Linked DNA regions of Saccharomyces cerevisiae S288C. The protein of the gene in region 3 binds, or shares a complex with, the protein of the main gene of each other region. Each region holds a gene or a part of one and is shown on either strand. Other genes may lie near its edges. The genes, in order: IES1, IES4 and IES5.

Region 1 (4,338 bases), on a different chromosome or scaffold from region 3:
AATACAACAATGTCTGACGCAGGTAGAAAAGGATTCGGTGAAAAAGCTTCTGAAGCTTTGAAGCCAGACTCTCAAAAGTCATACGCTGAACAAGGTAAGGAATACATCACTGACAAGGCCGACAAGGTCGCTGGTAAGGTTCAACCAGAAGACAACAAGGGTGTCTTCCAAGGTGTCCACGACTCTGCCGAAAAAGGCAAGGATAACGCTGAAGGTCAAGGTGAATCTTTGGCAGACCAAGCTAGAGATTACATGGGAGCCGCCAAGTCCAAGTTGAACGATGCCGTCGAATATGTTTCCGGTCGTGTCCACGGTGAAGAAGACCCAACCAAGAAGTAAATCTTTCGGAACTCTTTGTAGTTACATGGTTTTTTCTTTATGATGTGTGATGTTCCTTAATATTATATTCAATGAATAGCAGAGTAATAAAAAAATTCTAAAAAAAAAACGCTTAAATCGAGGTGGAATATATAAACTTAAGTACGCATATACTCTAGTTCAGTTTAAAAATTAGCTGTTTTTTTAAAAAAAAAAATTCTCTTTCTTTACAAAATGTTCTTAAATGTATGTATGTGTGTGTGTGTGTGTGTGCGTATTGTTCTATTTCACTCCAGCTTAAACATGGCGGTTGCTTCTTCGTCATCAATTTCCGCGCGTTCGATTTTATTTAAAAGTACTTTCTTTGAAGCGCCGAGATTTTTCATGAAATCCGTCTCAAATCCAAGCAAATTATCTTTGAATTTCTTTCTCTTTTTACCGCGAATCCCAAGCACTGACGCTACGGGGATGTCTTCAAATTCATTGAATATCTTGATTAACCCAATATCGCGTCTTTTCAACCTGTTTGGCACCTGGGATTTTTTCAAATCGGCGAGAAACTCCTCTTGTGTCTTACCATTTTCTGACACATGCTTGTTCAGATCTAGCGATATTAGCTTGTCGACCTTGTTTACCGTAGCCGAACTATTGTATTTTTTCAATGGTGTTAGATTTAAATCGTTTTTGTCAATGATAGCAGCGGAGGTGATTTCTTCTTCTGTTTCTGTTGGTGCTGCTGGCGTTACTTTGGGCAGTTGTGGTGTGACTTTTTTCCTGTTCAATGTCATGGGTGAAGAAGATTCCAGTATGGGCGTAGGCGTCAAAAGTGATCTAGTCTCCTCTACAGTCTCCTCGCTCTTGTCATCTTCCCCTTCACCGTCCTCTTCACTCTTGTCACCACCGATACTGGGCTTTTTCACCTCTGTAACATTGGTACGCTCGCGCTTCCTACCCTCCTCCATCTTACTCATGAATTCTCTTCTCTTGATGCGTTGGTTGGCTCCGAACTCTAATTCATCTTCAGGATCCGTGTCGTAACTGCGTTCCGTACACCTTAAAATGAACTTTCCAGCAGGTGCACCATCTTCCAATCCATTGAAAAATCTTACTGATTCTTCGACCTCCTCCTGGCTTAAGTTTGTCTCCAAATGAATATATAGCAGCCAAATCAATATGTTTGATCTATCCTTTGGCTCGTATTTCGAATAGTCCAGTATATCAAATAATGTTGTTGCATAAGCTGCTTTTGATTCTTGTTTTTCATTTTCCGCTTCCGTTTCTTTTACTTCATTCTGTTCATCTACCATATCTTGCTCCTGAGCTTTCGATTCGACTTCCACATACTTGGAAAGAAACCTCTTGTCAATTAGGCCGGAATTATCACATATGCTAAACAACATATTAATAATGTTAAATTTGTTAACGGTGTCCACTTCACCATCATTTTGGTCGACCTTTTTGTAAGTCTCCATCAATGAGAGTTGCTCATTGCCCCACGGCAGATTTTTCAGAATAGATTTCAGTCTAGGTGTATCCTGCAAAAGTTTCGGATCATTGGCATGTAATTGTAAAACTGGCACGGAGTGAAAAGTTCTCAATTGCGATGTCATTTCTAAATAAAAATTTATAGTGGTGTTCAACCTACCAATGTTGACCAATAACGCTAAAACACAAGTAGAAAATGCTACTTGTTGGTCTAATAATAGTTTATCTCTGAGAATTTTGGAACATTTGATAGAAGTGGCTATTGTCAACACATACAATTGTGCGAACGTCAATTTATCGTTAAATACAAATGTCCTTGCATCGTACTCTTTGTCGGTCACGTTGATTGATAATTTATCGCCATCGATATTAATGGGTACAATAGAGTTCTTGTATAGGGGTTTTAGAACATTAGTGAAGATTTGCCTCTTGTCCATCAACAGTTCTTGCATGAAACTGAACTGAATGTCCTTTCTATTGAATGGCTCGCCGTCAGGTTTCTTCAAATGACGATTGTATTTACTGGCATTGCTTTCTTTGGGTTTCCTTCTAACAGTGTTAGTTGTCACTGGCCCCGTTGCCGTACTTGCTCCTGTTGCTTCAGGCACTGTAGAAGGTTCGAAGTTGAGCAAGATGTTGGTATTTTCTTCTTCACTTTGCGTGGAGTCATCATCATTTTTATCGTCGATTTCAATCTCGTGTATAACTGGAATGCTTTTTGTAGTCACAGTCTCGGTCTCTGATTGAATGGAGCTTGGGGATGCTTCTTCTTGTGATCCCGATTTTACAGATTGCATTGGAGAATCTGCTTTTGTTTCGTCAGAATTGTCTTCTCGTAGTTGGAAAGTATCATGAATTGGATCGTATACTCTCTTCCCCATCTTTAATTAGAGTGTCGCCTTTATTTAGCTTTCGATTTTACTTAGTTAATCATGAACTGTTTCCAATACCATATCAGCATTCATTGGGCGTTCTTTACTTACTTGTACCGTTACCGCATTCGAGGGTAACCTGTTTTTCGTTGTACACGATATGCTACAGAATTGTCTTAATATGGGCTAAGAAAAAAAAAAGTCTGATTATTTCTGATACTGCAAAATATATACTGGCTTGGTTAAGAAAAGTGTTGCTTTAGTTCCTTTACATCAAGAGTCGTTAAATTGTTTTGTGTCATAACAGTAGTGGTCTTTTGAGACATCAATCGACTCTCAGGTTTTCCTTCTGTTCATCTTCTTGTTTTCGGTAAAGGTCAGCCAGCATATTTCAATTCTCTCTTTTTTGAAATAACATTATGTAATCTTTCAATCCTTTCTATCCAACGTCTGCTAAATAATTTATTCAAATGACATGTAGACCAGAAAATCGAACGTTGGATAATTTTTCATCCTGAATCATGTTGGTCTCAACTAGAGCAATTTTTTCACGTCCTCTGACACAAAACTCGATAAACTGTCGCATCAGTTTAAAAAAATATGTACGTGTATAATAACTGAATTTAAAAGGATAGTAAATAATTTTTGCATTTTATGGAATGTCAAAATACTAATAAGTCGCAAATATAGCTATCAAATACCATAATTTAGCTACTTATAGAAAGATGCCCAAATCCCGACCAAAAAGGACCATTGCGTCTTCCTCGTCAGTTTTTTATGGAAGTTCACCTTTCCAAAATGATGGCTACATCAAAGTAATGGAACTCGTATCACACATTGTCATTGAAATAAATCATTCACCTACCGCAACAACGGATGAAACGAGAAAGCAGAATAATCCGGAGCTGAAAGTGAAAGAACCAGTTTGTAACCTCAAGAAGTGGGAAAATAACACTAACTTTATATTGGAAGATCATACGAAGAATAAAACAAAACTTTCTAGCACAGATAGGATACGTAAGTGGTTTAGAAGACATATATTAAAGGAAGAGATCGAAATCCTTTCCCATGGAAAACAATTGAGTAGTATTGATGAGGATTATTGCCCTTCAAATGTTCTTGTAGGATGTTCAAGAGATCTAAATAAACTCAGATCATTTCAAAATTTTTAGGAATATAAAATTTCTCAGTAAGAAAAAGAAGATGAATGCGTTTATAGTATTTTAAGTTGTTCAATAGAATATCTTCAATATGTTCATATGTGGACTAAAAGAAGATTTTGGTATATGTCTATAAATTTATTGTTGGTAAACGCCATTAAGCAGCTTTCCAAGAATATGTTATCATTGAGGAGAAGTACGAAAACTGATTATGCACGATTAGGAAAAATTCTGCAAGGAGTATTAAAAAATGGCCTTCGAGAAGAAATGAAATCTCTTTCGATGAGCAATGGTCTTATGGATAATTTGATAGACATATGAAAAAGTCAAAAGTTTTTTTGGCCATATGCAGTAAAAACTTACCCTTCAAATTGCAAAACCATTAGTTTTATTATATTTTTTTTTTTTTCTTTCATTGAAGTATACACGAAATCCCATACGCAAATAAACAGTCGTTGTATCATCAATTTCGGCTGTCTGGATGGCGACTACGAGAGGAAGCT
Region 2 (2,865 bases), on a different chromosome or scaffold from region 3:
AAGACTTTTTACACAAAGATTGACAGCATTACTGACAAATTTCTAATGAACCAGACGCGCCGCTTCTTTTAGTGTCGTTTGGTAACCGCTTTTTCTTAAGCTGGCAGAGACCGCCAAAAATAAGAGAGTCGCTTGTAGTGGGACAAATAATGAACAGAGAGGCTTTTTGATACCAGTATCGTTGAGTTGGGAATGAAATGAAATATAACGATGCAATCGTCGCCATTCCTGTCAGAATATAATCGACGGTCATGTTATATAATTGTTTTATAAACGCCCACTTCTTGGCTGTATCTTTTATAATGTCCTTTTTTCCTGAAGAGGGTTTCCATCTAATTTTCTTTTACAGTCTGTAGCCTTACTTCTGGCCCTTTAACTAAATACATTTGATTTATATTGCATATTTACTCATACAATTGTATATTTGTTGTTCTTTTTTGGTCGGCTACCAGATTTAGTACTTAATGTAACCAATTTGTGAATTTCATAAATGACGTGCCAAACTAGAAAGTGTGGGGCCCTGAGAACAACTTTAAGCTGTTGACATTACCTTATGAGTCCAGTCCATCCTCTCCTTCTTTTTCAAGTTGTTTTACTTCAGGATCCTCATCTGCTGGTTCTTTTTTCCTTGTAGCTTTGTCATCTGATCCTTTAACGTCAGATGCAGTAAACTCGCTTCCCCTTTGACGTTCTTCTCTTACGTCTCTTCTTATCCAGCCGGTGAAATTTACCTTATAACCACTGAAGCTCTTGATCTCTATGGCTTTATTCTTGTAATCCCACGGAAGTACAGGTTTGCTATTATCTCTCGAATTGGCAGAGGGAGGGCTTGTATCCTCTATTTTAGGGTTATTGGCTAGTTGTTCTTGCGATTCTGATAAAACACTACTTTCTTGGGACATACCACAATTACTCGAGAAATTGGATTTATCTTCCGGCCAATATAAGTAAAGAATGTGTTGGCATTATAGTACATTTTGTTGATATCTTTAAAATTACTTGGATTATGAGAATGATTACCCGTCAACTGCTTGGTAAAGTTTTAACGTTCAAGAAAAGCTCTAGACGGCGTAACGCACCTTTTGTTATGAGCGTTAGAAAAATTAGTGACTAAGAGGATGAGATGATAAAATGCATATGATGTTGAATATGGAAAATAAAATGTTATATTCTTACTCAACGTAACCTGCCATTTGTAGGAGTTAAAAATTATGTAGTAGACTTAAATCTCTCCTTATTGTCCTAAATACTTGTAATTACATACACATATATATGTATAAATATTCGGGAAATTTTACAACTGTTGAGATTTCATAAAGATGATAATTTCAGATACAAAGTGTTTCTATATGCCGAAATTTCCGCTTCTAATGTTATCATATAGCTTCTTTCTCTCCTGTCTTTTGTTAATATTTCCATGCAGTTTGTTTCCCTGAGGAGCTTCTGGTAGGTAAAATTCACTATTTACAGCCCCCATAGGCTGAGCGGGTACGGAATAGGCATTCTGCTGCATGCCTTGGGGAAAACTACGCCTGTTAGCACCAGCTGTGTAACGTATCGGCTCCTGAGCTGGTACCATATGGGACATCATTGGAGGTGCTCGCATAGGTGGAGGTCCATTGTAGTATTCCGCAGGTACGACAGGTTGAGCTTGCGGTGAATACCTATTAACGTGCTGCTGTGGATATTGATTGGGGCGAACTCCCTTTGGTACCATTTGCGGCGGATTATTGCTCCACTTTCCATCTAACATATGAGCATTGCCTGCCCGGCTGTTCCCATAAGCATTTGTTGTGTTATTATGATACGGCGGCTGAGTTACCTTGTAAGTATTTACAGGGTGCTGGTGGTTAGGGTTCATTCGTTCCATTTGTTGATATAATGGAACGTTAGATGGAAGATTGGGCACACCTTGTTTTACTGGCACCATATGTTGGGGAATAGGTGAAGCATCTGCCCGTTGATTTCTGGACTTTAGTTCTGGGGGCACAATATTGTTTTGGAAGGGACGTTGTTTTTGTTGGTGAGATGGATAATTATGCTGGTCCCGATATGTCATATGTGGTTGATTTGCTAAAACGTGAGCAGGATCATTATACCCAACGGGTACATTAATCGTGTTCTGCTTGAATCCAGCCGAATTGGTGGAGAATTGTGGAGACCTCGCAGGTGAATATGCAGAAGGTGGAACTGGTGCACTTGCAGGCGACATTTCATTTCTACGATCGTTCTGATAGTATTTTTGCTGAACAGGAGATACACAGTCTCCAGGCGCATTTTTATATGGTTTTGGTGTTACCTGTTGAGATGGACTGACTGCACCTTGTAAGACGTTCAGGCGAGACTCATTCGTAAATGCCTTTTTCGAATCCGAATTTGAATAAGTGGGTTGACTAGGCATTCTTGATGCCGGCAAGTTGTTGATATTTGGAGAATAATATGATGATGAATCGTCGTTGACTTTGGATTCCTCAGAAATCTTTCTAGGTTCCGCTAATTTCCTATCAGCGGTGTATTTGGAACTATCAGCGCAAGAATCATTTGTATTTGTACTTAGCTTCAATGAGTGAACGGCGCTTGAATGGCTGCTTTGTAAGTCATCGTCAGTTATATTGGATGGCTTATATTGATCAAACTTTGTCAATGATTCGAAAGTCTCTGCCTCAGTTATGGAGATTTTTACATCGTCTGGCTCATTAATCATCATTTCTTCAACCATACCGTTTAATTCTTCAATAGCTGAGTCGGTAGCTCTTTTCTGGGAATTTTTAAGTTTGTCACTGTCGTCATCATCGTGTTCGTACATTAATTCCGGTATTTCAATCTTAAAGTTTGATGAACCGGTCTCTATTACTGGTAACTGAT
Region 3 (2,989 bases):
GACAAACTACTCAAAGAGAAAGATACCGCAGAGAATCCATTAAATGAAAAAATCATTACTAATAAATACGACAACGATATCACAAGTCAAACTATCACTGTTTCAGGTGAAAATAGTAGTCTTTTCGCAAACGAAGGCCTTTCTTCTCCCTATGTTACACAATACCGCAATGACGATGACTCCATCGAGAGCAAGGTACTACATATAGTAAGTCAGCTAGGCAATCATATCCTTTCAAATCACGCAGTGAAGGAGATTACAGAAATAAACAATAAATACGGTCCAAGGCTTTTTGAAAACGAGAAAATGTTCTTCAAAGTATTTAATATGATGTCGAAGTATCGGTTTAAGCCACATGTTAGGAAGTTTCTTTGCGGACTATTTATTAACAATAGAGCGCTTGAAAATGTCATCAGGCACGACAACAAAAGGGACAAAAGGCCGGCTAATTTTACACGTTAGAGCAAAAAAGGGCCGCATGTATAAATGTATATAGTCACAATATTCCATAGACCCAGGCACTTCCCTACACCACAGCATACAAAACCGTTATGGTGTGTGCGTATCATTATATAATAATGGGGTTTCCTTGTACAGAGTATAAGCATCCATTAGCTCCTCGGGAACCTCAATATCTTCATCGTCCTCCAACTTTTCTGTAATCAGTGATATCTGATCATTGTACCACTTCAATTCGGGTACTTTCTCTACTGTTGCTTGAGATATTAAGCGTGGGAGTTCCGTTTCAGCAGAACCAGTATCTGCATCATCAATACTGTTCAGTACCGTTATCACGCTCGATACTTTTCTCAATAATGTAGTGTATTCCCTTTTTAGAGTCCCATCCTGTTTGATAAGCTCATCATTTCTTGCTGATATCTTCCGTATTTCTTTGTCTATAACGCTCTCTGGATCTTTACTAGGCATTTTTTTCTTGTTTTATAATCAGTCAAGTATTGGTTTCCCACAGCCATTCAACTCAGGTTCATCATCTTTTTCGCTTCCAAAAATGCAGTTGATTTCACACAATTTTTCATGAACCAGGGTCCCGCACTCCGGGTAAAGGACCATCACGCCACATCACGTGCACATTACTAGTAAAAGCCACAGGAAATATTTCACGTGACTTACAAACAGAGTCGTACGTCAGGACCGGAGTCAGGTGAAAAAATGTGGGCCGGTAAAGGGAAAAAACCAGAAACGGGACTACTATCGAACTCGTTTAGTCGCGAACGTGCAAAAGGCCAATATTTTTCGCTAGAGTCATCGCAGTCATGGCAGCTCTTTCGCTCTATCTCCCGGTCGCAAAACTGTGGTAGTCATAGCTCGTTCTGCTCAATTGAGAACTGTGAATGTGAATATGGAACAAATGCGATAGATGCACTAATTTAAGGGAAGCTAGCTAGTTTTCCCAACTGCGAAAGAAAAAAAGGAAAGAAAAAAAAATTCTATATAAGTGATAGATATTTCCATCTTTACTAGCATTAGTTTCTCTTTTACGTATTCAATATTTTTGTTAAACTCTTCCTTTATCATAAAAAAGCAAGCATCTAAGAGCATTGACAACACTCTAAGAAACAAAATACCAATATAATTTCAAAGTACATATCAAAAATGGTTCAATCTGCTGTCTTAGGGTTCCCAAGAATCGGTCCAAACAGAGAATTAAAGAAGGCCACTGAAGGTTACTGGAACGGTAAAATCACTGTCGATGAATTATTCAAGGTCGGTAAGGATTTGAGAACTCAAAACTGGAAGTTGCAAAAGGAGGCTGGTGTTGATATCATCCCATCCAATGACTTCTCCTTTTACGACCAAGTTTTGGATTTGTCTTTGTTGTTCAATGTCATTCCAGACCGTTACACTAAGTACGATCTATCTCCAATCGACACTTTGTTTGCTATGGGTAGAGGTTTACAAAGAAAGGCCACTGAAACTGAAAAGGCTGTCGACGTCACTGCTTTGGAAATGGTTAAATGGTTCGACTCTAACTACCATTACGTTAGACCAACTTTCTCCAAGACCACTCAATTTAAGTTGAACGGCCAAAAGCCAGTTGACGAATTTTTGGAAGCCAAGGAGTTAGGTATTCATACTAGACCTGTCTTGTTGGGTCCAGTTTCTTACTTATTCTTGGGTAAGGCTGACAAGGATTCTCTAGATTTGGAACCATTGTCCCTATTGGAACAATTGTTGCCTCTATACACTGAAATCCTATCTAAATTGGCTTCTGCTGGTGCCACTGAAGTTCAAATTGACGAACCTGTCTTAGTTTTGGACTTGCCTGCCAACGCCCAAGCCGCCATTAAGAAGGCTTACACTTACTTCGGTGAACAAAGCAATCTACCAAAGATTACTTTGGCTACTTACTTCGGTACCGTTGTCCCTAACTTAGACGCCATCAAGGGCTTGCCAGTTGCTGCCTTACACGTTGACTTTGTTAGAGCTCCAGAACAATTTGATGAAGTCGTTGCCGCCATTGGTAACAAACAAACCTTGTCCGTTGGTATTGTTGATGGTAGAAACATTTGGAAGAATGATTTCAAGAAGTCTTCCGCTATCGTTAACAAGGCTATTGAAAAGTTGGGTGCTGACAGAGTCGTTGTTGCCACTTCTTCTTCTCTATTGCACACACCAGTTGATTTGAACAACGAAACCAAGTTGGACGCTGAAATCAAGGGCTTTTTCTCTTTCGCCACTCAAAAATTGGATGAAGTTGTTGTGATCACCAAGAACGTTTCCGGTCAAGACGTTGCTGCTGCCCTAGAAGCTAACGCTAAATCTGTTGAATCCAGAGGTAAATCCAAGTTTATCCACGATGCTGCCGTTAAGGCCAGAGTTGCCTCTATCGACGAAAAAATGTCTACTAGAGCAGCTCCATTTGAACAAAGATTGCCTGAACAACAAAAAGTCTTCAACTTGCCATTGTTCCCAACAACAACTATTGGTTCCTTCCCTCAAACCAAGGACATCAGAATTAACAGAAACA

What was found.
Region 1: IES5 (region 3) and IES1 share a complex: the UniProt entries of both Saccharomyces cerevisiae proteins name them as parts of the chromatin-remodeling INO80 complex.
Region 2: IES5 (region 3) and IES4 share a complex: the UniProt entries of both Saccharomyces cerevisiae proteins name them as parts of the chromatin-remodeling INO80 complex.

The regions. Positions count from the first base shown.
Region 1 is NC_001138.5:107,247-111,584, forward strand, and holds IES1 (Ies1p), read right to left. Parts: upstream 2,685-4,338; coding exon 606-2,684; downstream 1-605. Other genes in the region: lipid-binding protein HSP12, read left to right, coding at 10-339; YFL012W (uncharacterized protein), read left to right, coding at 3,401-3,847. UniProt on the Saccharomyces cerevisiae protein: Probably involved in transcription regulation via its interaction with the INO80 complex, a chromatin-remodeling complex.
Region 2 is NC_001147.6:687,661-690,525, reverse strand, and holds IES4 (Ies4p), read right to left. Parts: upstream 903-2,865; coding exon 552-902; downstream 1-551. Other genes in the region: MSB1 (Msb1p), read right to left, coding at 1,346-2,865.
Region 3 is NC_001137.3:340,793-343,781, reverse strand, and holds IES5 (Ies5p), read right to left. Parts: upstream 928-2,989; coding exon 550-927; downstream 1-549. Other genes in the region: TORC2 complex subunit TSC11, read left to right, coding at 1-462; MET6 (5-methyltetrahydropteroyltriglutamate-homocysteine S-methyltransferase), read left to right, coding at 1,615-2,989.